3 linked regions of the Mus musculus genome follow. The protein of the gene in region 1 purifies or fractionates together with the protein of each later gene. This does not show direct contact. Links are inferred from orthologs where the notes say so. Each region holds a gene or a part of one and is shown on either strand. Other genes may lie near its edges.

What was found. The genes of interacting proteins can lie anywhere in the genome.
Region 2: the proteins of Csnk1d (region 1) and Cry1 purify together in Homo sapiens (affinity purification with mass spectrometry; 3 studies listed by BioGRID and IntAct, counting the BioPlex papers as one, with this or other methods). This does not show direct contact. The link is inferred for Mus musculus from reciprocal best matches to the Homo sapiens genes CSNK1D and CRY1.
Region 3: the proteins of Csnk1d (region 1) and Cry2 purify together in Homo sapiens (affinity purification with mass spectrometry; 3 studies listed by BioGRID and IntAct, counting the BioPlex papers as one, with this or other methods). This does not show direct contact. The link is inferred for Mus musculus from reciprocal best matches to the Homo sapiens genes CSNK1D and CRY2.

Annotation. Positions count from the first base shown.
Region 1 is NC_000077.6:120,989,013-120,992,760, reverse strand, and holds the start of Csnk1d (casein kinase I isoform delta), read left to right. Parts: upstream 1-1,427; 5' UTR 1,428-1,750; coding exon 1,751-1,826; intron 1,827-3,748. UniProt on the Homo sapiens protein: Essential serine/threonine-protein kinase that regulates diverse cellular growth and survival processes including Wnt signaling, DNA repair and circadian rhythms. It can phosphorylate a large number of proteins.
Region 2 is NC_000076.6:85,146,925-85,150,572, reverse strand, and holds part of Cry1 (cryptochrome-1), read left to right. Parts: intron 1-1,774; coding exon 1,775-1,959; intron 1,960-2,577; coding exon 2,578-2,666; intron 2,667-3,648.
Region 3 is NC_000068.7:92,409,940-92,413,587, reverse strand, and holds part of Cry2 (cryptochrome-2), read left to right. Parts: intron 1-169; coding exon 170-321; intron 322-436; coding exon 437-639; intron 640-881; coding exon 882-974; intron 975-1,820; coding exon 1,821-1,960; 3' UTR 1,961-1,962; intron 1,963-1,996; exon of another isoform or gene 1,997-2,008; intron 2,009-3,648. UniProt on the Homo sapiens protein: Transcriptional repressor which forms a core component of the circadian clock.

The DNA of each region.
Region 1 (3,748 bases):
TTATCAGCTGACTGTCCTGTATACAAGTAATAAGAAGGGTGTGCAGAGCCCTAGGCACGCAGCAGCTCACACCCTCGGCTCTCTATTCCAGACAGAGCAGGTGCTCCCAGAGGGAAGACCGCTAGGCAAAGATCAGGCCCGAGGTTGGTAAGAGAGAGGTTAGGCCAGATACCAGGTTTGCTGTTTTCAGTTCAATATAGGGGCTTCTCAGATGAAGTTAGGTATTGTTCATCAACAGAAAAAAAATTATACTTGAATTCTGTCAGTAAGATTATTTTTACTAGTTTGGCCGCATCTGGCTCTGACTCCTGGACTAAAAAGCTAGGCAGTTCCCATACCTGCCGCTCAGTGACCACTGGTTTCAGTTTGCCTTGTGGTGTCTTCTGTCTCCGGCTGTGTAATGCTCCCCAACCTGACTGCCAACTGTGTGCAGGCAGGCACTGCAGGACCACCAAAAGGAAGGGTGGTGGAGCTGGGAGACTAGAAGACATGTCAGCTCCACGTGCTTCTGCAGGGCTGCTGAGTTGTCATGCAGCGTGATACCCTGTGCAGATGCTACGGGTGCTAGCTGACCAAATAGAAGCATTACACTCATCTGTGACTCTCGTGTTTCTGGCTGGGTGAGAGTGGGCCTAGAAAAGCATCTATTTGGAAGGTTGTCCCCTCCTGGTTAGGGGGCACCTCCTGTGTGGTAGCTCCTCCAGAGTCCCTCCTCAGTGGTCAGAATGGACAGCCAAGTCTTGGAAGCTGGCCGTCAGCCTGAACTTCAGAATTCATGTTTGTGTTTGCCAGGGGAACATGCAGATCCAATGCAGACCAGATAAAAATGTTGACTCTCTCTCCAGGCAGACAGCCCTGGAGAGCGATCAGAGTCTGAGACATACCCTCTACACCCTCAGTGAACTCAACACTGACCTTCCTGCCCACAGTGGGTCCCAGGAAGACCTCTTTTCTTCCACCCTTGTGTGCAAGAAGCTGGCAGGCAGCAGCAGGCACGTTTTGCACCATTCAAAGCCCACAACTGGTGATTCCTACAAAAGCTAACTGTCTACCTGTGATCTCAGAGCTAGGCCTGGACCGCCCTCTCTGCCCTTTTCCCCTATCTGTAAAGGGCCTTTCCCGGGGTCTACAAAAGGAACTGCTATTCGGCTTCTCTCTGCCTGTTTAGGGGCAGGGTCGCTATAGCCCAGGCTGGTCTCGAACTCCCAAGGGCTGGAACTACAGGCATTTCTTACCACACATGGCTTAGCTTCCTCGGACTTCTATTGGAGACAAATGGGAAGACCAAAGAGACCAGCTGGAGTCATCCTGCGGGAACGGTGGACACTGGGACAGAGAAACAGGCCTGGTTGCGACTGCGCAATCCATCAAGTAGCCAAGCCCCGCCCCCGAGCACGGTGGCCCCGCCCCCTTGGGTTGCTAGGGGAAGTGACGTCACAGCGCGATGGCGGCGGCTCCTTTAGGCAGCTGAAGGGGGATTTAGGCCCGGAAGATCCGAGTCCATCCGCGGCGGGGAGAGGGCGAGCGGGGCCGGCAAGGGCCGGAGCAGCGGCGGCGGCGCTCGGACTGTCCCATCCGCCCCGTATTGAGGCGCTGAGAGCGACGGGGCGACCGGAAAGCGATGGTGAAAGCGGGGCCGTGAGGGGGGCGGAGTCGGACCGGACCCGCAGTAGCGGCAGCAGCGGCGCCGCCTCCCGGAGCGCAGACCCAGGAAGCGGCCGGGCGGGCAGTAGCGAGCCGCACCGCTGCCATGGAGCTGAGGGTCGGGAACAGGTACCGACTGGGCCGCAAGATCGGCAGCGGCTCCTTCGGAGACATCTATCTCGGTGAGGCCCGGCGCCATCGAGCGCCCGGGGGCCTTGCGGATCGGCGGGCGGGGTCCCCGGCAGGCCGAGGCCTGCGGAGGGCCGGAGTGGACGTTCGGCATCCCCGCAGCCGAGGGCCCGGGCACCGGCCTCGGCCAGACACCAACGGCCGCTGTGCGAGCGCGGCCGGGGGGCTGGGCGCGGCGCGGCGGGTCGGGGTGGGGTGCGGGGAAGGGCTGGAAGGACAGGCCGGTCTTGGGGACTGCAGGCCGGGGGGCAGAGCTCGGAGCGTGTCTGGGGATGGTCGGGGACCCGGGAGAGGAAGAAGGAGGCCTAGAGGCGGGGGCCAGCGGGCCTCGGTGGTGGGGTGTCAGAGGGCGTGGGAAAAGGACTGGGGGCGGGGGCCGGGGGGGGACAGCGGGGAGGGGGAGGGGAGAGCGGGGCAGGGGAGGGCAGCAGGCTGGGGGTGGGGCCCGGAGGGGGCAGGGCCTGGGCCGGGCGTCAGCATCCTCCCCCACCTAAGGTCACCGCAGTAAACAAAGGCCATGCTCTGCTCCGCCAAGGGTCTGGTGCTGTTCCTCAGCTCTGCAGTGGCGTCCTGGATGTTTTCATGTGTGGGGGAGAAATGTCAAAATAAGCCAGATGTAGTGTGGAGGTGGGGAGTGTCCCGGTCAGAAATGGGGGAAACGACCGGCTGATTTCTGAGGGTTCTTGGAGCAGTCTGGGCCTGCTCTTTTCCACAATGGCATCTCCACTTAGCTGACCCGCTAAAGGGATCACCCATAGCCTCCTGGCTGCCACTCTCCTCCAAATCAGGACTGAAAATGTTCCCTGTGCCTGGCCTGAAAGGCCTTGGTTTGGTTGGGGTCTTGAGGATATGTTGAGCATCTAAGTTGACTACTGGACACCCGGAAATCAACAGGAATGAAGTTTTGATGAATGCAGATGCATTCAATGTCGAGATGTAGGCAGAACAGAGGGGAGAGAAGTGGTGTGGAAGGAAGTTCTCATGATGGCTCTCAGAATTCTCAAGGTAGACATGAGGGTTGCTTAGGGTTGCTTAAACCTGATAGTTGGGGATTTTTAAATACAAACTTCCCCCTGCATTTCTTAGTAGAATTATGTTATTCCAAAGCCCCTTGAGAACTTGGAGCCTTCTGGTGGTGAACTTCCTGTTAGAGGTAACCATATTCTGTTGAGCAGTAGCCCATCCCTGCATTTGTTTGGCTGTTGTACCTCTAGTGGAGAGTCAGGAAGAAGCTGTGCTTTGGGCCGGCCTTCTAGTCTTCCCAAGCTTATGAACTTGCACTCTGACTCCTCACAGGACCTTGATAGCTGGTGGTGTGGGGTGAACAGCTGGCCCATTTGGGTAGTTCAGAAGTATTTATGGTGCCTGGTTAGCATACAGGGTAAGCCTGCTATGTGCCACATGAGTGCCTTTGAATCCGAACTTCTTGCCAGAGTGGTCTGATGAGTAAAATATGCTTTAGAGATACTTAGGATTTGCTTATTTAAATATTTATAACCAAGTAGAGAGCCAGATGCCTTCTCGGCAATGTTTGGGAGTCAAAGTGCTGGGTAAATTGGAGCTGTTTGGCGTATTTATAGAACAATAGATTTTGGCAGAAGTTTAACCTCAGGATATAGGAGCTAGACTGAAAACCAATCCATTAGCCACCCTTTCATGGGCATCAGAAAATAGGTATTTTGAAACTTTTTGTTCCCTGAGATCTTGCCAAAAGGTTTTGTGCTTTCTGAAGATTGATTATAACAACCAGTTGTGCTATGGTAGTCATGTGTCATTCAGAGATGGGAACCTTTCTCCAGGAGAGTGCAAGCTGTGTCTGGGGTTGCAGTTTACTTAGTCACATCTCTACTGCCCCACCTGGTTCCCCACCTCCATCCAGAGCATGGGGCAGGATATGAGGGACAAGACAAAGGCT
Region 2 (3,648 bases), on another chromosome or scaffold:
AATTGTCTTTATAAACATGAGAATTCACAATTTGTGTATCTATTAAGTAATTTTACCTTTTAAGTTATTTACACATTATACCAAGTTAACAAAGCTAATTCTATAAACAACACAACAAACTGACTTTACTTGTGTTAGCAAGTAAATGAATAAAACCATTACTTGATCCAGACACGCGTCTTCCCTTGGTGATGTCTTACATGTGCTAGTCCTTTTGGTACCAACACTTCCATCAGGTCCCAGTTTTCTTAACGTCAATGGGTGAATATGGAGCAGACAGAATAGGGTAAGAGAAGTTGCTTCTAAATGGGAGACTCAGCCATATTGTAAAATTAGGTTTTGTTGAGTTGATTGTGAATACATACCAAAGACTCGGTGTGTGTGTGTGTGTCTGTGCCTGTACGTCTGTGTGTGTGTGTGTCTGTGCCTGTACGTCTGTGTGTGTGTGTCTGTGTGTCTGTGTCTGTGCGTCTGTGCGCACACGTGTGTAAAAATCTTTTCTATGAGTTTCAGTTTGCTGGTAGATAATTAAGAGACACTTAATAGTGTCATTGTAGCATTATTGAATTCAACAAACTTCATTATAGCCCTATATGTAATATCAAAATATTAAACCAAAACAAACTGTACTTACAGCAGGGAGGATAGCTTTTACTCTGAAACCATGTCTAGACTTAATGCAAACCCTTGGAAGTGCTGCTGGCATCTTTCCCTAGAACTATTGTAGGATTGAGGTACCCAGTGGTCAGCAATAACTACATAATGCACTTAATATTAATGACTATACTTAAATATAAATGACTTGGAATTTGGGGTGCATGTATGCATAATATTTCTCTCCTTATCCATGAGGGCATTCCAAAGCCCTGGTGGCTGTTAAGAACCACTAGTCACGTTGAACCCATGTTCACTGTGCTGTCTATCTAAAGAGCACAGCATGGCAAAGCTTGGCTGTAAATTATAAGTTATAGGAGGTTAACAATGGTATTGAACGTTTAGAACAGTATGCTGTAATAAGTTATGTGAGTCTAGACATACTATTTTTGTAGCACAATTGAACACAAGTAACTGAAACCACGGAAAACAAAAGCTCAGCTAGGGGCAGGTGCTGGGAACAGATACATGTGCTGAGGTCTGTAACAAGGACCCACACAACAGAAAACAGCTGTGGAGGCTTCACGTCCATAGAGGAAATTGGGACACAGCAGAAAGGGCAAGAGGAGATAGGGTTTCTCTGTGTAGCCCTGGCTGTCCTAGAACTCACCCTGTAGACCAAGCTGACCTGGCATTTATAGAGACCCACCTGCCTTTGCCTCCGAGTGCTGGGATTGAAGGTGCGCCCCACTACTGATAGCATGTTTTACTTCTGCTGATTATTTCTCGTTAGAATTATCAATCTACTTTAGTTTTATTGGTGCCTCTTGAGATTTATTAAATTGGTTCATTTTTTTCACTTGTCCATTTATATTAATTTTTCTATACATGATCTATAGGCTAGTTGAACTACTTTGTTAGTTTTTAGTCACAATCCTAAATACTTGCCATCAATGATTTGATGTTTGCATACTGTATTATTTGACACCTAGTAGACATCTAGGAATTCAAGAGAATGGTTTTACATTCATTAAATATTTTTGAACACATTTTCTGGTCTTATCAGAAGCTAACATTCAAAATATCTTAATTGATAAATTTTCTGATATAAGCATTTTTGAGCTTATCAGCCAAGCTATATTAGCATTTACTAACTGTATCTTACTCATTCTTGTAACAGGATCATAGAACTCAATGGCGGACAGCCACCTCTAACATATAAAAGGTTTCAGACTCTCGTCAGCAAGATGGAGCCACTGGAGATGCCAGCAGACACCATCACATCAGATGTGATAGGAAAGTGCATGACCCCTCTGTCTGATGACCATGATGAGAAATATGGCGTTCCTTCCCTGGAAGAGCTCGGTGGGTGCAGCCGCTGATAAGCACCCAGAGTGCATGGCAGCACAAAGTGGACCTGATGGCTGACTAAGAAAAGTCAGAAAGAACACAGTCAGGATGGGTAGGGAGATCTGGGGGATCTAGGAAGCTTTAGGGGGACAGGTAAGGGCAGTGTGATCAGAATACGATGTGTGAAATTCCCAAGTAATTTAAAAATATATTTTAAAATACTTCATAGTCATAAATCATTTGGACATTTCACTTCTAATGTATTTTTACTGGAAGAAGAGAAGAGTAAAGGGGAAAATAAAAGAGAAACCTATTAACCAAAAATATCTCATGTGCATTCTTAAACTGTGACTGGCTGTCAGGTGACAATGTGCATCCTAAAAATGGGAACCATGTGTGGTCCTTGGGGCAGGAGTCTGTCATTGGGTGGGGCCTAGGCCAGTGTAGTCCTGTGTAGTCCTCTGTAAGCCAGTGTAGGCCTGTAGAGTTGTATTTATTTGTTTATTTTATTTTTGCTGAGTGATTTGTTTCCCAAGTAAGTGTGGTCAGGAAAACAGTGATTTTTTTGTTTTATAATAATTACAATATTAATGATGTTTTCCTTTCTTCATTTATTTGGTTCTTTTTCCTTAGGCTTTGATACAGATGGCCTGTCCTCTGCAGTGTGGCCAGGAGGAGAAACTGAGGCACTTACACGTTTGGAAAGGCATTTGGAAAGAAAGGTACAATGTAGATTCCAAATAAACCTTTCAGAAATTATCTCAGCCTTGTTTAGATGAGACCAGGCACATCCAGGGAGGCTTAGCCGTAAGCTTTAGACAGAATATGCTGTTGACAAAGGAAGACCGACAGAAATAGTTACAGCAGCACAAATCTAACGTTTGGAAGTCACCATCAGCCATCAGGTACTGCCCTTTCCTCCTGCCTGCTTCTTCCTGTTGCTGGAGCCAGGCTGCTGCTTCTGTTCTTCCCACCCGTATCAGCTGGCTAACGGGCTGGAGCAGGATTCTGCCTGCAGCCATGCTGCTCTGTCTGAGACTCCAGTGGGTCCCATGAGACAGTTTCACTTGTCTGTTTTGTTGGTATCACTGGTAATACGTATTGATTGTAGAAATTAGCAAGACTCCCATGTATTGATCCTGTTCCGCCACTCCCTCAGATACTTCTCCCATTGCAGATGACCCTCATCCTTGCCCTCTCCCGTCTCTTAATAAAGCTTAGTTTGTAACTTAGATGCATCAGGAGATTCATATACTCACTAATGGTAAGATAGTATAATTGTGATCTACTATAATAAATTATTTAAAACCTACAAGTTATTTGTAGAATTTTCCTTTAATGTTTTCCAACTATCATTACTCGACCATGAGCATCTGAAACCTTAGGAAAGGCAAGGCACACCATTGTATTCCTTTGACCCAGTGTTCAAAGAGACAGGGTGAAGGTGCTTCACTCCTGAGGCTGGGGACCTGATGGCCGTTTATTTCACATGAGTGCATGCTGTACATGGATGGCTTCAGGGAAAGACAAGTCACCTTTTAAAGTCCCTTTCTCCAGTTACTAAATCAGAGATCTATAGTGGGATAATAACAAATTCCTCAAAATCCTCAGTTTTGAGGTGTGTGTGTGTGTGTGTGTGTGTGTGTGTGTGAGTGTGAGTATGTGAGCTCAACTCCTTCCATGCGGTGCTGGAGAGTTGAGCTC
Region 3 (3,648 bases), on another chromosome or scaffold:
GCTCCTTATAGACTGGGGCTGGGGTGGGATCCTTGGGTCTAGGAGATCCTTTCTGCATCCCTGGGCCCTCAGCAGAAGGGCTCTGGCTCCCTGAGGGTGTAATAGTGTTACAGAAGTGGAAAGAGCCAGAGCGTCAGGTCTCCAAGGAGGCTGGTTTTTCCTCATCTAGGTATTTGACGAGCTGCTCCTGGATGCCGATTTCAGTGTGAATGCAGGCAGCTGGATGTGGCTGTCCTGCAGTGCTTTCTTCCAACAATTCTTCCACTGCTACTGCCCTGTGGGCTTCGGCCGACGTACAGACCCCAGTGGGGACTACATCCGGTAAGGACACACACCAGACTCTTTGGCTCTGGAGCCTCCCTCCTGGATTGGGGTACCCTAGGCCCTTTAAAGAAGAGTCACAGTGTGCTGATACATTACCTGGGGTGTGTTTCAGGCGGTACCTGCCCAAACTGAAAGGCTTCCCCTCTCGATACATCTATGAGCCCTGGAATGCCCCCGAGTCAGTTCAGAAGGCTGCCAAGTGCATCATTGGCGTGGACTACCCACGGCCCATCGTCAATCATGCAGAGACTAGTCGGCTCAACATTGAACGAATGAAGCAGATCTACCAACAGCTGTCGAGATACCGGGGACTCTGTAAGGATCCCCTACCCCCTCTGGCATCTCACTCACCAAGGGAGGACGAAACCTGAAAGCTTTTTCAGGTGTTGGCTGCCCCCAGGCTGTAAAAGATGCTGCAGGCTGGGCCAGATTGGGCTGCCAAAGCGGCTGTGGGGTATTGGAAAGGGTGGAGGCTGTGTCCTGCTCTTGCCCTCCTTGGCTTCTTTGTTTCTCATGATCTGCAGCCCTCTTAATCTTGTGTGCATTCAATCCCCCAGGTCTATTGGCATCTGTCCCTTCCTGTGTGGAAGACCTCAGTCACCCTGTGGCAGAGCCTGGTTCAAGCCAAGCTGGGAGCATCAGCAACACAGGTGACCAGTCAGTTACACCTGCCTCTGGCCTCCCTGGCCTTCTGTGGCCTGTGTCACCACCACATTAGTCATTTAGGGCTGAGGCCAAAATGAGCATGTAGCTGATGAAGCTTATATCCCACCTGGGACATACTGTAAGACCATCACATGAGAACATTAAGGATTTTGGAGGGAGGTAGCACTGAGTGGCTTGATGTGGGACTAGGAATGGGGCCTCTTTAGGGCCGCGTTAGATAGGAGAAGCCCAAGGGCACCTCTTTAAGCATCATCTTGATAAGAACCAGGAAAGGAAATATCGAGAAAGGCCCCCAAAGCAGGCACAAGCAGAGTCCACTGTAGGAGCAGAAGGATCCAGAGCCAGGGAGGAGGGAAGCAGAGCAGCTTTGGCACAAGTCGCCCTGCCTTCCTGCACTGACGGAGGCCCCACTGAGGTTTTAAAACCCCACTGCCTGCCACATAAACGGAAACAATGGGGAGATGAGGAATAAGGTGCTCAGGAGGCTGGGCAGGAGAAGCCACAGGGAAGAGCAAGGGTGCTGGTCGGGTTCGGGATGCTCCACAACACGAAAATGCCCAGAACCCTGGGATTTCCCGGGACTGCGAAGGGAACCCTCACCTTCAGAGCAAGGACGGCAGGACGGCAGGTAGGCCAACCAGTCTCTGGCCTGGCGCCAGGGATCTGAGCACCAGAAGTTGGCCTTGCTGCCAGCAGGCCAGGCCATGCCCTCCTCATATAGTTCCAAGTGAGGTCACTGCTGCAAAGGAGGCCAGGGCAGGGCTTCCTGTCCCCACAGCAAGAGACTGTTATGGTAAGTAACTATGACCTGTTTCTGTGCCTCTCTACAGGCCCCAGAGCACTATCCAGTGGCCCAGCTTCCCCCAAACGCAAGCTGGAAGCAGCCGAGGAACCTCCTGGTGAAGAACTGACCAAGCGGGCTAGAGTGACGGAGATGCCTACCCAAGAGCCAGCAAGCAAGGACTCCTGAGAGTGAGTTGTGGTTTAAAAAGCTGTTGCTTGCCAGCTGGAGGGCCAAACAGCAAACCAGATTAAAATGCGATCAGGGTAGGACTTCAGCTTGTTTTGCTACAGTTATGAATCATCATGTAAATACCTGGTAGTCAGGAGATCTGATATGCAGCCCCCAAAGGGTCAGGGCCCACAGGTTGAGAACCACTCCTGTAAACCTTTGCAGTGGTAAGGGATGGCTGTCTTTGTTTATTTGTTTGAGACAGAGCCTCACTGGGTAGTTGAGGATAGTTTTGGACTTAGAGCAATCCTCCTGCTGTAGCCATATCCTCCTGAGTGCTGGAAATTCAGATACGAGCCACCATGTCTACTTTACCTTCTAAAATTTAAAAAAAAAAAAATGTAAAGGAAGAGGGTTTATTTTTGAAGAGTGAAACTTAGAAGTTGAAACCCTTTGATTTCTGGCGAGGGTTTAGTTTAGTTTTGTTCTGTTTGTTTACTTGACCTGAGTTCTGTAGGTGGCCAAGCGAGGGTGATACTGAGCTTCAGATGGCAGGAAAGGGCTCAGCCCAGCCCCAGAAGCTGTCTCTGCCTCTGCCTCAGGGTCTCTTCTCACGGGCTCTGGCCGTGCACGTGCCAGTCCATCCTCATCTTTTCTACAAGACTCCTGAATCATTAAAAAAAAGGAAAGAAACAGAGGGAAGGAGAGTCAGTCAGTCTTCCTCCTCTCGGCTCCTCCTTCCCTAAGGCAGGAAAGGCTTTTAGGCCAGTCCTGGAGAAGTGTGGATTGCTGTCCTCTCAGGCTGTGGACAGTCTCTCCTGGCAGGCTCTTCCGACCATCTGCATCAGGAGATCGGAGGGTGCTTTTCACCATGGAGGGTTGGTGCTTTTTCTGGTCCCGATCACTCGGCCTCACTGAGGCTTCCGCAGTGTCTCGATTTATGTCCTCGTGGGGTGGCAGGCACTTGGTGCTTTGTCCTCTAGACATTGCCAGTGGGAGGACAAGGTTGTGCTGCCTTGTCCCTGGAAGAGCCACCACCATAGATGCCATGCTCTCCAGTGCTGAGCACAGAGCGTGATGGCTTCTGAACTTGCTTGGTTAATTCCCTGATTTTGAGGCAAGATTAACAAACAGAAAGATTAGATGTATGAGTCAAGGATGCTCAGTAAGCTGATGGCGTATAGTACAGCATGGGCGTGTTGCCAGCAGATGTATAGGGACAGTGACATATAACGCATGCCACATTAATGTGGGATCCATCCACAGTGACTTAGGAAAGGAAGACTAACAGCCTACAGTTCCTAGAAAGCTGCAGACCTGGCTTATCGGGAGAGCTGTTGATGGGCTGAGCGTGGAGCAACTTTACACCACAGCAAAACCAATTCAGAGTTTATATGATCTTGTACAAATTACATAATCTCTAGGAGGATGGTTTCCTTCCTGAAATCAGGTCATTGTCCCCAAGATTAAGTGCAGATGCAGTCAAGAGACGTGGGGGTGCTGCTGTGGGCTCAGCATCTCTAAGTCCCAGCTCCCAAAGGCTCCGAAACCCAACACCGTGTGAGTGTCAACAGGGAAATCTGTGCAGATCTCCTTAAATTCAGAAAATCCAGGCCCTCACAGCCTGGGCCCAGCTCTGAAGTACTCTCTGCTGGGGTGATTATGATCGGGTTTCTTGCCTGTTGAGTCTGGTGCTCCTGGAAGAC